2 linked regions of the Drosophila melanogaster genome follow. The protein of the gene in region 1 interacts with the protein of each later gene in a pairwise test. Each region holds a gene or a part of one and is shown in the gene's direction. Other genes may lie near its edges.

The links.
Region 2: the proteins of CG5359 (region 1) and Ttc19 interact in a two-hybrid assay, tested with the Drosophila melanogaster proteins (one large-scale study listed by BioGRID).

Annotation. Positions count from the first base shown.
Region 1 is NT_033777.3:9,999,344-10,003,097, reverse strand, and holds CG5359 (uncharacterized protein), read left to right. Parts: upstream 1-1,821; 5' UTR 1,822-1,896; coding exon 1,897-2,158; intron 2,159-2,216; coding exon 2,217-2,476; 3' UTR 2,477-2,525; exon of another isoform or gene 2,526-2,592; intron 2,593-2,729; 3' UTR 2,730-2,783; coding exon of another isoform or gene 2,784-2,920; 3' UTR 2,921-3,072; coding exon of another isoform or gene 3,073-3,200; 3' UTR 3,201-3,254; coding exon of another isoform or gene 3,255-3,262; 3' UTR 3,263-3,327; downstream 3,328-3,754. Other genes in the region: Mical (molecule interacting with CasL), read left to right, coding at 1-51, 111-188, 245-345, 404-600, 658-663; Spn85F (serpin 85F), read right to left, coding at 2,784-2,920, 3,073-3,200, 3,255-3,262, 3,337-3,754.
Region 2 is NT_033779.5:19,043,198-19,046,951, reverse strand, and holds Ttc19 (tetratricopeptide repeat domain 19), read left to right. Parts: upstream 1-1,803; 5' UTR 1,804-2,048; coding exon 2,049-2,582; intron 2,583-2,634; coding exon 2,635-2,798; intron 2,799-2,868; coding exon 2,869-3,016; intron 3,017-3,068; coding exon 3,069-3,332; 3' UTR 3,333-3,417; downstream 3,418-3,754. Other genes in the region: Acn (acinus), read right to left, coding at 1-1,385; Catsup (catecholamines up), read right to left, coding at 3,602-3,754. UniProt on the Drosophila melanogaster protein: Required for mitochondrial complex III formation.

The DNA of each region.
Region 1 (3,754 bases):
CGGCGTGCTTATTGAGAAGGCCTTGCGAGGCGAGGCGCAGAATATTGAAAAGTGAGTGCTAGGATCTGGCTATATCCTTGAATACCCATTAAATGAAATCTCTTCTACAGCCTGGATGCGACAAAGGACAACGACGAGAAGCTACTTAAGGAACTTTTGGAGATTTGGCGCAACATCACAGCACTCAAGTATGCTAATCAATGAAGCTCTATAATAAACAAATCTAATGTAATTTTGTTTTTAGGAAACGCGATGAGGAACTGACTATAAGGCAACAGGAACTGCAACTGGAGTATCGGCATGCCCAGCTGAAGGAAGAGCTCAATCTGCGCTTGTCCTGCAACAGTGAGTGTTATAGTTTCCTCTCAAAACTTTGATATAATATTTAATTCCATCATTGCAGAACTGGACAAAAGCTCTGCCGATGTGGCCGCCGAGGGAGCAATTCTCAACGAGATGCTGGAAATTGTCGCCAAGCGAGCCGCCCTACGACCCACAGCCTCCCAGCTCGACCTCACGGCAGCGGGATCAGCATCCACGTCCGCCGAGGCAACGGGCATTAAGCTGACGGGACAACCGCATGACCACGAAGAATCGATCGTGAGTAAATAGGACCTATATGTTTAAATTTGAAATTGACAACACCACTTGTTTCAGATTTGAATAGCCAACTTTCCCTGGAGATTGCTGGTCTGCGAAGTGGTGCATGGACTGTTGAGCCTAAATACTTAAGATGAAACAAGGGAACAGGGGAGAGCGTACCAAAAAGGCAGCTGAATATACAGAATTAACAATACTAAAACCCGTGAGCTGTAACCGAAACGAGCAACTAACTATTCAAAGTGGATAAGCTGGCTAAGAACAATTTCAATATTTATATAAGTAGAGAGCCTAACTAATATGGGAGAAGCGCGCAAGGTTAATGTAAAAACAGGCAGAGATGAAATCAAAACCAAAAAACTAATTTCGCAATTTAAAAGTAGGGATTACGAATGTTTTTGCGAATACCTTTAGTTTCGTATTCGACCTAATTGTACGTTTTGTTAGTCGTTGCCACTGAAATCTGTCTGATTTTTGTATGTCCTATGCAATATGTTGTGTTTTTATTTAATGTAATGTAGTGAGCGTGTGCAAAGGGTATGTGATTTTGAGCAAATGTAAATGGTGTATTTGAGTTTTCTTAGGTTATTTTCACTTAGCGATTGTTTGTCGATTTCTATGTAAACCGTTTGAGTGTATTATTATTTATTTGACAAAGCACCTTCCGCACATCCTCCCGATCAGCACACCCATGTATGTATTATGTCATTTGCCCCCAATCGAAATCAAAGTGAACACAAAGAGATGCACACAAATATTTTCTAAATGCGAGAGCCTACACATAGCGATGTAAGCGAGAAAGCAACCATTAACTGTATACTAACGAAATCATTTAAATTATTGCGTAACTTTATTTATAACCTGCATATATAAAAACATATTTATCGAATTTATTATGTAACTTTTCGATTTATTTTGAATTGAATAAAGATTTTATGAAACCTAAGGACGATTTTATAGTTCTACTTTATCGTGAAGTTTTCCTTAAATGTCCTTAAAGAAATGTTCTTTAATGGGGAAATTCCGCCATCGACGCTAACTTGACGCACATAAAATATTGGCGCGTATTATAAATTTAAATTATCCAGAAAATGAAAGAGGTGCCACACTTCGTTGTTATAAAGTGGCCACACCAAATAAGTTCGGTTATTCGTGGTGACTGACAATTAGGGATTGGCGGGAAAGCCATTTTACCATCTGGTAACACTAGCAATAAGTAAACAAACATAGCAACCAAGATTTTCTTGGTGCTTTCTTAAACACTTTGAAAGGGAATTACGCTGAATTTGACAAAAGATGGCTGACAAACAGTCCACTGAGGAAACAACCAAATCCGTCCAGACTTTAACAGTGCCCAACCCAGCGGATAGGAAGTCGGAAAAGTCGGCGTCAGGAAGTCTGCACTCCGGCTCAGCCGATGGTTTGGAAAATCAAGAAAAGTCGGAAAAGCCCGGCGACCAGCCCACCGCCTATAGCATGCGACCGGCCTTTGGGGAGATGTTTCCCCTGCCCACCATCAAGAGCATAATGAACAACGTTATGGCCGAGAAACTCAAAGGTTAGTGTGAAAATCCATAAATATACTGCGCGTTGCCTAGCAACTTCACTATTTGAAGACAAAACCTATGACAAGGACGTCGCCAAGAAGTGGACCAGTGAGATCGCCGACGAGGTGAACCAGCAGATAGCCAGCAGCTCCCTGGTGAAGCGGTACAAGCACGTGGTCCAGGTGATGCTAGGCCAGGAGCTGGGTGCGGGGGCCACTTACAACTCGCGCTGCTGCTGGGATTGCGACTGCGACACTTCCGTCTCCGAGGTCTTCAGCAACACCAGTCTCTTTTGCGTCTGTACAGTGTTTGGAACGTATCAGTACTAAAACCGATTTCCCACAGAACTAGTTAGACTAAGGATTATACTTTAATGGGGTGAGCTTACATTAAATGGGTTGTCACGAGATGTGTTTTCTAAAAATATTATATAGATAAAATATTCAACAAATGTTGTTTAATTTAATGATAATTTTAAGTATGAAGTTTCTTTACTTCCATTCAAATTTCATCTGCCCAGAGTCTCGTGACACCCCCGTATATTTACATTTTAATCTAAGCAATGCTAACATCTCGTATTAGTAGGCACCGGGAACAAAGGGTTCATCACTTTCGATAGTCGACCTTCGTCGTGCTTCATTGGATGCGTACGTTCAGCGGATTCAGTATGCGGCCCGACATCACAGCCACGTCCAAGTCGCGATCGACGATGAAAAACAGAAACGGATGATTCACAGAGATCTGAATGGGCTTCGATTGGGCGCCGTAGTTGCCTAGAGAGTAAAAGGAAGTGTTTATTGCACTTTGTCTCGTGTTGCAGAGGCTGCAACTGTTGCAACACCATTAGGTTGGGCATTCGCAATGCGTTGCGGCTCAATGCCTCCACTCCATTCCATTCAGGTGTGCTGCAATGCGAGACACTTACGCTTCAGCTGATTGATGGGATGCGTACGGATGGTGACGTCTATGGATTGCTCAATGTGTCGCACGTAGACGCCCTTCTCCTCAGTCATGGGCCTGAAATCGGCGCGATTTGGTTCGAATACGTCGCAGCTGCAACGAAAGTAAAATGAAGCCAGGAACTGGAGCTATTACACCCATGCTTACATTCCCATCTGCAACAGAGAGCACAAAAACCAAAGACACCTCAATAAAAACACAAAAATGCACTCTACAAATGAATACATACATTCTGCAAGTCGTTTGTCAAAAACATGGTGCCGTGCAGCTTGAAATCTGGAATGATGGCTTGCACCCAGCGTGGCTTCAACTGCTTCCGCATCAGTCGAAGGGTTGGTCCCAGTTTCAAGGAGGCGGCGGCTGCAACAATATCCGTGTGGTAGTCGGGCAACAGGATCATTAGGTTGTACTCCGGTGTGTCCAATTCCAACTCCAGCACGCTCATCTTCAGGTGCTCAAAGTACTTGTAGTACAGCACTGCGTTATATACCTTGAAGGTGGTGTGCACCACCTGTTGATTGCCCAAGTAGAATACGTGGCTGATCACATCCGTGTTATAGTTGGACTTTCCCTCGGCCGCCTCTCCGATATAGTGTGGCTCAAAATCATTCGTGATGGGTGCAAAGGCAGCGGGCACTGGCGGCGGA
Region 2 (3,754 bases), on another chromosome or scaffold:
TTCAGCTGCAGCACTGTGAAGGGGCGTACCAAATTGGTGATATAGAGCACGTGGCTGGCGCGGTTTCGAGCAGGACTAGGGTCACGGACTATGTGTGGTGCTGCCGTGGAAACTGTGGCTTTGCTCAGGCTGACCTGGGCTGAAACCGTGTCTGCTGCTGCTGGAGGAGCGGCTCCTGCTCCTTCATTATCTGCCGACGCCTCTGCGGTGGTGTCGCAGGTGTTGGCGGTATTGCCCTTGTTATCGCGGTCTTTGCTTGCTTCAGATGGGGGCGCCGGTGAAGCAGATCGCTCTGAATCGCGATCGCTGGTGACCAGGCCTTCCTCCTCTGAGGACGATTCCAGTTGCACATCGCTTAGGGGCACTGGCTGCACCACATCGGCTATAATGTTCTTCAGGGAATCCGTCGAAATGGCAAGCACGGGCGGGGTACGATCCGAAGACTTTTTGTTAGTCAGCCACTTTCGCTTCCGCACCGACCGTTGTTGCTGCAGAACTGGAGCACCGGTTGTGTTGGTTGCGCTGCTGTTTAGACATGGATCGTGCTTGTCGTTCGAAAGATCTGCTGGTTCATCGTGAATTTGTTCTGGGTTTTCGTCTATCTGCTTGTGGTTTTCCTTGTGTTCCTCCTCCTCTGCGGGTTGCTGTTCCTTTATCTGCTCCTTGTGCCTCTTCTTGGTTTCTCTGCGCTCCGCAGGAGCGGAGGCTTCTTCGTCCCTTTCATCGACCTCTTCTGTCTGAATGTCTAATACATCACTAGTCGTTTTTAGATGTTCCTCATCCTTGCTGGAAGGAGAAGGAACCTTTACCTCTTGTTCTGGCTCGCTCTGCTTGGTGTCATCATCAGTGGAAGTGGGGACCTCCTGCTGCGGTTTTAAGTCCTCTTTCTCAACATCATCATCCTTGACTACAGCGGGTTCAGCACAGGATTCATCGTCTTGAGCCTGCTGATCCTCCGTCTTGGCACGGTCCTCGGACTCGCTCTCATTAGCCGCGGGTGGCGCTACAGTCTTTTCCTCCTCGACAGCGTCCTTTTCAACATCCTTTCCATTCTCCGGCTCCTCCTCGGGTATGGTGTCCACCTTCTTGTCGCCGCCCTTGGACTCCGTGCGCTTTCTAGGCGTCGTCCGGCTGCCGCGACTCCTGCGCACTGGCGATGCTCCAGATCCGGCACGTTCTTCACTGGATGCCCGCGCCTCATTGATTTCTTGAGAGGCTGGCGGTACTTTGGGGCATTCGGCCTCATTATTTTGGGCCACGACCGGAGTCTCGACCTCGGTCTTCTCGTTCTCCGACACCTTGCGGGAGCGGCGACTTCTCCGTGCAACTGCCACCGGCACCGGAGCGGGCGACGACGACTTTTTTCGCTCGCTGCGACGTCTCATGGCTGTCCGAAAATCGCTGGAAACTCGCTGCGACGCTGGAAAGATCTGAAATAAAACGTAGGTACAGCCGGCGGACCCACAGCTATTTCATGCACTGCTTTGCGAATTCACTCCTCGTTATATTCTGCACCTTTTCTTGATAAGAAAAATAATTTTACTAGGCGAAAGAGCGTCAATCCGCCATCAATATACAGGGATGCTTTCTCTCGGTCTATCGCCCCGCTGACGGCTATCGATAGTATCGTATGCGATGGGGGAAGGAAGTACCTTATTACGAAAAACTTTATCAAATGTACTTAAATGTTTTTTATTCGAGATTGTTAATAACTCTACTTATCAATTTATTTTTGTTCGCAGATTTAACTTATGAACGAAATGTTAGGTACCAAAGTTGCCGATAAAGTTTTGTTTGACAGTGTCATCTCTAAAAAATTTAAAAACCTTTGTTTACGAAATCTTAACGAAACATAAATATATTTGCGAAAGTATGATAGAGTAGAAATTATTTAAAAGTCTTCTATGTTCTTAATCAAGCGTTACGAAATGTACTTTTAAAACGTCTTTACCGCGCTTTGCAACACTACATACGTGCTATTTCATAATTTTTAATACCATACCTGCAACATTATAGGTTTTAGTTAAATAATTAATAAAGCCCTAAACATGTTAGTGAGAAATATTTGCAAGTTTACGCAAGTTATGGGCAGGTTCCGCGTTGTCGTGAATCCCAGAGATTACTGTCATCTTGCGCCGCTGAAGAGAAGCCGTTATCACCAACGGTCAGAATTCGGATGTCGACCGCTGTGCTCCAATGCTGCGGGCTACGAGGTGTCCTGGGCAGCTCCGCCCGCTTCTGGCTCTTCCGGTGGAATGTTTTGGGCATTTTCCGCTGCTTTCACTCTGAATCTGTTTGGTGGCGCCGACGAAAAAGAGGAAACTCCGGAGGAAAAACTGATCAAGACCATCAAACGATCAATCCTGTGCATTCAGAGGGAACAGTACGACAAGGCCGAGCAAATGCTTCACCTGGCTCTGCGAATGGCGCAGGATATTCAGAGCAAGGACGGCATCACATATGTGTTTGATCTGATGGCCAATTTGGCCATGGAACGCGAGCAGTTTAAGAAGGCGGAGAAGATATTCACGGACGTTATGAAACGGCTTTTTGCCGAGGGTCACACCGAAGAGAGTCCCAAGGTGGGTGACCCACTTAGACACCATAACCAGTTAAGATCTCTTTCATCTTTAGATACTTCACATCAGCTCCAAGATAGCACACATGTCTCAGCTGCAAGGGGATCTGGAAAAGAGCTTTCAAGGGTTCACTTGGACCTTGCAGCAGTTGGCTAAGCTACTGGAGAAAATGCCCGACGACAAGGACATACTGGAGCTGTATGGCTTGACAAAGAATTGGTATTGAAGGTGTTTCCATTGCCGCTAACCAAGCCTTTTTTCAATACTTTTCCTTATGTTTATTTTCCAGGTTCGGGCAGCTGCTGATGAAGCAGGGAAAATACCTGGAGGCTAAAAACCTCTTTAAGGAGGCCTTCGACACGCTCATAAATGTTTATGGTGCCGTTAACGACGCCTCTGTAACCATCCTAAATAACATCAGTGTGGCGTACGTAAACGTAGGTGCGTCTATTCTTCCAAAGTACTTGAAACACATTAGACTAATTACAGCTGGAAAAGTACGCCGAGGCAAGGGAGACCCTTTTGGAGGCCATGGAGCTGACTAAGGAGCTAAAGGATGCCACCCAGGAAGGCATTCTGCAGGCAAATCTGGGTTTGGTGTATCTTCGCGAGGGCCTGATGTCGCAGGCGGAGAACGCTTGCCGACTGGCGTGGAAACTGGGAAAGCAACACCAGAATCCCGATGCCGTAGAGCAGGCCGAGTATTGTCTCAACGAGATAAAGACAACCCTGAATGGAGAGAAGCGCCAGTGAGGATTCTTTTTACAGTGTAATTTTGACTATTTATAAAAATTTCATTTCGAAGTGAAGCACAAATTTGGAAGGCTTAAAAAATCTTAAATAACGCCGCATTGTTTATATTGGGAACTAATAGCGGTTACTGACTGTTGAAATATAAGAAATTTAAGTAGTTGCTCATCGTTTTGAGTAGGTAACGAACAGAAATCTTTCAAATTGTTTGCGGCACACTTTCAGTACATGCAATTAGATCTTTTTTGTGTTAACTTTCCACAATTTTGATATTACTCGAACTTGGCGATAACGATCATTAGGGCTACGCCGGTTAGCAGCGCAAAGATTTCCTTCAGCGACTGTTTCAGTTTCGTAGACTCCTCAAGCAGCTCCGGCAGGACACTCACTGTTGCGATGTAAATAAAACCGCCGGCTGTGAAGGG